Linked DNA regions of Canis lupus familiaris. The protein of the gene in region 1 purifies or fractionates together with the protein of each later gene. This does not show direct contact. Links are inferred from orthologs where the notes say so. Each region holds a gene or a part of one and is shown in the gene's direction. Other genes may lie near its edges. The genes, in order: ASXL1 and OGT.

Region 1 (2,969 bases):
TTATGAAAGAGCAGAGCCTTGGCAGCTCCCTGGGAGCAGGAGCTTTGCAGGATTCTGCAGAAAACAGTTGTGCAGTTGGCAGGAGCAGCCCCCGTGCTATAAGAGCTTCAAAGGAGCCTCTTTTACCTGACAGCCATGAAGCAGGCACCAGTCTTGCCAGGCTAGAGCCCACCCATGCTCCTGGAGCACCCCAGAAGATTTCCAAGACAGTCCCAAGTCTAGACTCCCTATTTCCAGTGACAGAGCTGACGACTGCCTCTGGAAAAGTAGAAGAAGTGGATTCCAAAGAGCGATTCTCTACTGTTAGTTTGGAAGATCAGAAGGAAGCCGTTGATGTATCCCAGCGCAGTAATTCAAATGCTGCCCCAGGCAAAAGCCCAGGAAATCTCACTACCTCGAGAGACCCTTGTTTCTCTTCTCCAAATGCGATCTCCTTGGATCCTGATCAGACAGGTCGGGCCCTGGGTAATCAGAACAGTACTGGAGGCCAAGGGAAGAAGCTCTTTGGCCCTAGGAATGAGGCTGCAGCCCTTCAGTGCCCCAGACCCATGGAGCCAACACCACTGCCTGCTGATGCCCCTCCCAGTTTTCCCAGTAGGAAGTTGGGGCCAAGCAAAAACTCTGTGTCTGGTGGGGTACAGACCACCAGAGAAGACTGGGCTCCAAAGCCACCCCCTGCCTCTGTTGGCAGCATCAAGAGCGAGAAGACTTTTGAGGGGGGTCCTCTCAAGGCAAATGCAGAGAACAGAAATGCCACTGGTCCTGGTCCACGGGAGTTAGTGGATCACTTGCAAGGGATGCCCTTTGTCCTTGATCTGCCCTTCTGGAAATTACCCCGAGAGCCTGGGAAAGGGCCTGGTCAGCCTCTGGAGCCTTCCTCCATCCCCTCCCAACTCAATATCAAACAGGCATTTTATGGGAAGCTTTCCAAACTCCAGCTAAGTTCCACCAGCTTTAATTATGCCTCCAGCTCCCCCACCTTTCCCAAAGGCCTTGCTGGAAGTGTGGTGCAGCTGAGCCACAAAGCAAACTTTGGTGCGAGCCACAGCGCATCACTTTCCTTGCAGATGTTCACCGACAGCAGCACGGTGGAAAGCATCTCACTCCAGTGTGCGTGCAGCCTGAAAGCCATGATCATGTGTCAGGGCTGTGGTGCGTTCTGTCACGATGACTGTATTGGACCCTCAAAGCTCTGTGTATTGTGCCTTGTGGTGAGATAATAAATTATGGCCATGGGAAAAGTTGTATATTTAGTGTGTGTATTTTGATAATGATTGATCTTACACCTGTATACAGAATATCATTGATATAATAGACTCTGTTTCTCTAAGCAAGAGCACTCTTGCCCTTCCCTAAAATTTGTAGTGCTAAAGCCCCTCTGTCACTCACCAACTCTTCTGGTCTTGCTGGAAGGGTTTCCTGCCTGGCAACTCATTGGGCTGCCCAAGGCCGGCTGGCCAGCTTGAGCTCTCATGCAGACAGAGCCTGGTGTGGCGTGGGGAGCCTACCTTGACACCCAGAGGGACTTGAAACTGAAGAAAGAAGGTTGTGTTCTCCATCAGGGGAACTAACCTACCTGAACTGAGTAGACCTGCCAGTCTTCCACTGCCCCCTCCCTGCCATCTTCCCTTCTGCTGCTCCGCCTGGGGGAGTTCATGGCTGGGGAAGCCAGCACAGGGTTAAAGTAACTCCCAGCAGTGCCCACCAGGGGGCCCAAGCACCTGCTCACCTCAGGGGCACAGTTCAGTCACTTGCCATTTGACAGGAGCCAGTTTGACCTTTGGTTCTGTTGCTGAAGCAAATTTGGGACTTTCCTGTCTTGGTACCATTCACTGGCCCGCAGGAGCTTTTGAAACCTTGAATAGACTTGCTTGGACAATGGGGTTGGGCATAGGGTTGTCTTTCCTCTTAAAATGCCATCTGTAGACCTTGTAAGTCAGATGTCCAGATGTTTGGCAGGTGAATTCCTCTGCTTGACACCCTCCCTGTCACTTTGGACTCAGTGGGAGTGGGCATCTCCACGCACCTGTGTATGTGAAAGTCATTTTACATTTCAAAGCAGTGTGTGTTTCTTATTTTTATATTTTTAACTCTTTATCCTTGGATGTATAAAGTGAACTTTTTGGCTTCTGTAAGTATGCTCTATGCACCTCTAATGTTTTATCATGTATTTATATGTTGTACACAGTACTGGCCGATTCTGTAAATGGATGTATTGTACAGAGAACACGAGTGTCTCTCCCTTATTATCCGTCTCCGGCAACATCGCATTAAAGTGGTGTGCTTCTCTGCCTGAGTCAGAGCCACCACCCGACAGAAGGGTGCAGCAACTGACTTGGGATCTGCCAGCGTGGCCCAGTGCCCTGTCCTGGTCGCCCAATGGACCTGCTGTGGCCCGCAGAACCACAGCCAGCCCACCTGCGCTCTGCTGAGCAGATGTGTCTCACCTCATGTCTCTTCTCTTCTGACCTTCCACTGGCTTCTCGCTGCCATATGTGATAAATCACCGCCACCAGTGTTAAGTGCTCTGAAGTCAAGGGTGAGTGCCCTGGGCAGCCCCAAGCAGGCATTCCAGATGTGGCTCCAGGGTTACCACCTTCAATACCTGGGACCATTTGGTGTTCTTTTGATAGCAGGTTGGGGAAGAAAGCCACACCTGTTGCCTGCTTCTCTCACTACACACTCCCAGCACGTAGACATCTCCATAGTTATCTTCCCTCGCCTTGCTCCCCACCTTCTTACTCCTCCACTCGGCAGAGTTGAGAGCCCTCGTTTGACTTCCATCTCCCTGTATGAGTGCTTCTGTGTGAAGTAGAAAATTGGTGTGACCTCAGCAAGTTTCACCCGAAAGACCCCCGTCCCACCCCATCTCATCCACTGTGGCATTTTTGTCATCTAAAGCGTGAGAAGGTAGCAGTCACGTAGTGATGTAAATGCAGTATTGGTCAAGTCCAAGTTGTCAACTTTAA
Region 2 (3,825 bases), on another chromosome or scaffold:
CCCGGGACTCCAGGATCATGCCCTGGGCCAAAGACAGGCGCTAAACCGCTGAGCCACCCAGGGATCCCCACATTTTTTAAATTTAAATTCAATTTGCCAACATATAGCGTAACACTAAGTGCTCATCACATCATATGCCCTCCTTAATGCCTATCACCCAGTTATTCTACCCCCCCACTGACCTCCCATTCTGCAACCCTGTGTTTCACAGAGTCAGGAGTCTCTCATGACTTAACCATATTTTTATACTGCATAAATGTAATTTGTCTTCTTACTATGTTTTGTACCTGTGACTCTGAATTCTATTTAATGCCATTAAAACTTATTGAATTAGTTTGAGATTATACATAGTGAGTTCTGTTTTTTATTGCATAGATTCCATGCAATGGAAAAGCAGCTGATCGCATCCATCAGGATGGTATACACATCCTTGTCAATATGAATGGTTATACCAAGGGTGCTCGAAATGAACTCTTTGCTCTCAGGCCTGCTCCTATTCAGGTAAAGGAACTAATAGTAATTGCTTACAATGTTTATTAAGCTATAAAGATGGTGATTTTTTTCCACCCTCCAGTTGCTTGGCATTTAAAACAATAGGGCAGATATGCTTGACTTAATAAAAGTATAGTTCTTGAAATGCACAGGGACAATGAATTTTATTATTTTTTATTTTTAAAGATTTTTATTTATGCATGAGCGATACATAGAGAGGGGCAGAGACATAGGCAGAGGGAGAAGCAGGCTCCCTGCGGGGAGCCTGATGCGGGACTAGATCCCAGGACCCTGGGATTGTGACCAAAGGCAGATGCTCAACCACTGAGCCACCCAGGTGTCCCAAGACAAAGAAATTTTAATGTAGAACACAGTGCCCACAGGTACATTTGTATAGAGATATGCAATTCATAGTTGAATACGAACAGTTCGGTTTTTTAAATTGGGAAAACGTTTAACACTGAGAAGGTTAGGCTGAAATACTACTTGATTCCTCCTAGCTAAAGAAGTCAACCCTCCTTATTTGTTTGTTTATTATTTTGAACTCTTTTGGTGAGGCTTTTTAGCTTTTGGCCTGATTTTTTTTTTTTTAATCTTTTAGGCAATGTGGCTGGGATACCCTGGGACCAGTGGTGCGCTTTTCATGGATTATATCATCACTGATCAGGAAACTTCACCAGCTGAAGTTGCTGAGCAGTATTCTGAGAAACTGGCTTATATGCCCCATACTTTCTTTATTGGTGATCATGCGAATATGTTCCCTCACTTGAAGGTAGAAAAACAGTGCTATGTGGACATTGCAAAGAACTGTAGTCGTTTATTTCCTTGCTGTTGTCCCTATGCATCCTAAAAGAGTCTCAAACTTTTTTTTGATTAGAAAAAAGCTGTCATCGATTTTAAGTCCAATGGCCACATTTATGATAATCGGATTGTTCTGAATGGCATTGACCTCAAAGCATTTCTTGATAGTCTGCCGGATGTGAAAATTGTCAAGGTCAGAACCTGGTCAATATCGTCATTGAAATAAAGTTATCTGCATTTGGGATCTTTTCCCTAATGATACATCTTGTCATTTTTTTCTTAAAGATGAAATGTCCTGACGGAGGAGACAATGGAGACAGCAGTAATACAGCTCTTAATATGCCCGTTATTCCTATGAATACTATTGCAGAAGCGGTTATCGAGATGATTAACAGGGGGCAAATTCAGATAACAATTAATGGATTCAGTATTAGCAATGGACTAGCAACTACCCAGGTGAGAAGAGAATAATAGAGCATAATACCACCAAGTATTCATTTATCTTATTTTTTTAAGATTTTATTTATTCATTCATGAGAGAGAGAGAGAGAGGGGGGCACAGACACAGGCAGAAGCAGGCTCCGTGCAAGGAGCCCAATGTGGGACCCAATCCTGGATATCCACGATCACACTCTGGGCTGAAGGTGGCGTTAAACCTCTGAGCTCCTGGGGCTGCCCTCATTTATCTTCTTTAAATCTAATAACTCTAGGAGATGTAAGCACCATTATCCCTGTCTTATATTGAGGAAATGAGTGGTGGAAATTGACATCTTACAAGCCTTTTATTTTTAAAGGCTTTTTATTAGTGTTTTATTTTTTATTTTACTTTATTTTTTATAAGTAATTTATTGTATTGGAAATTCCTTGGAAGTGCTCTTTTTTTTTAAAAAAAAAATTATTTATTTATTTATTCAGAGTGAGAGAGAGAGGCAGAGACACAGGCAGAGGGAGAAGCAGGCTCCATGCAGGGATCCTGACGTGGGACCCAATCTCGGGTCTCCAGGATCACACCCCGGGCTGCAGGTGGCGCTAAACCGCTGCGCCACAAGAGCTGCCCTAGCCTTTTATTTTAAAAGGCTCTTGGATTCAGTCATTAGATCACTTAATGAGGGTCTACTGTGTTAATAATATGTTACTTCCTGCCTGTAGCTTTCCTCTTATCAGCGGTGAATTATCTGTAGACCTCGTACAGTTTCTTGCTTCTGTAACTCAATTCTTTCCCTTAGTTAAATCTTACTCCCTTTGAAGACTTTCAGTTCATACAGCTCCTCCAGGATCTATTCCTGTCTCTATTAGTAATCTTGCCTTCCCTGTTCCATTGGCACCTGTCTTCTCTGCTTTTGTAATATTTGAAATGCATTTTTACATCCAGCACAGCATGTTATAATTCCCTATGTTTGTGTATTCTTCCCTGAATTGAATTACTTTAGGGCCCATACCTTAGCCACAGTAATGTTGTATGTGTTCAATAAACATGTTGCATATTGGAATAAGTGAATATGTATCTCTGTCAAGAGATTATAAGGCAAGGATCTCTCTCTTAGGAGTTAACAGTTTTAGTGGTATAACAGTTTATACCATGGATGCTTAAAATGAACTCTTTTTCTCTCAGGCAAGTTCCTGTTAAGATAAAGGAATTAATAATCATTTACAAGGTTTATTGGGCTAAAAAGACAGTGCCATATTTTTTCTTAATCTCTGATTAACTGTCATTTGAAACAATAGGCGTGTTTGACCTAAGGAAAAAAAAGTATATAGTTCTTGAAATACACAGGGACAGAGAACTTTGGGTGTAGAACATGATGCCCAAATGTATGAAACCTACCTGGAATAGTTAGATAACAATATAAGGCAGTACCTCGATGTATGGGAATTGCAAGGTAAGACTATAATTGTGTACATAGATACTTAAAAATAGTGGTGATCAATGTGAGGAGACACAGTGAAGATGGTTTGGAGGAATAATTTAACTTTCAAGGATGGATGTGATTTAGAAAAGGACATTCATTAAAAAAGTGAGCAAAAGCTTGCTGTTAGATTAATAAGATTTTGAAAAGAACTTTTTGGCTTGAGTGATAAGTTTCAAGGTAAAGTCTTCCGCTTGCCCCCATTAAGATAATACCGTAACGTTTTTCCTTTCTTGAACTTAATATGTCATGAATATTTTCTCACAGTTCAAATGACATGACTTTTAGTGGTTATACTATTTGGCATTTTAAGGATTCTTTTTTTAAGACTTATTTATTAGAGAAAGCATATGTGCGCATGTGCTCGTGTACATATATGCACAAGCAGGGTTGGAGGGTAGAGGGAGAGAGAGAATCCTAAGCACAGAGCTTGATGCCAGGTTTGATCCCACAACTCTGAGATCATGACCTGAGCTGAAGCCAGGAGCCAGACACCTAAACGACTGAGCCACCCAGGCACCCCAAGGATTCTTTATTAATTAAAAAATACCACATACTGCTGACTTTAAATATAAACATCCTATTGTTTTTTGTGTTCCAGATCAACAATAAAGCTGCCACTGGA

What was found.
Region 2: the proteins of ASXL1 (region 1) and OGT purify together in Homo sapiens (affinity purification with mass spectrometry; 3 studies listed by BioGRID and IntAct, with this or other methods). This does not show direct contact. The link is inferred for Canis lupus familiaris from reciprocal best matches to the Homo sapiens genes ASXL1 and OGT.

The regions. Positions count from the first base shown.
Region 1 is NC_049245.1:22,305,233-22,308,201, forward strand, and holds the end of ASXL1 (polycomb group protein ASXL1), read left to right. Parts: coding exon 1-1,220; 3' UTR 1,221-2,227; downstream 2,228-2,969.
Region 2 is NC_049260.1:56,041,215-56,045,039, forward strand, and holds part of OGT (UDP-N-acetylglucosamine--peptide N-acetylglucosaminyltransferase 110 kDa subunit), read left to right. Parts: intron 1-375; coding exon 376-501; intron 502-1,093; coding exon 1,094-1,264; intron 1,265-1,369; coding exon 1,370-1,486; intron 1,487-1,578; coding exon 1,579-1,749; intron 1,750-3,801; coding exon 3,802-3,825. UniProt on the Homo sapiens protein: Catalyzes the transfer of a single N-acetylglucosamine from UDP-GlcNAc to a serine or threonine residue in cytoplasmic and nuclear proteins resulting in their modification with a beta-linked N-acetylglucosamine (O-GlcNAc).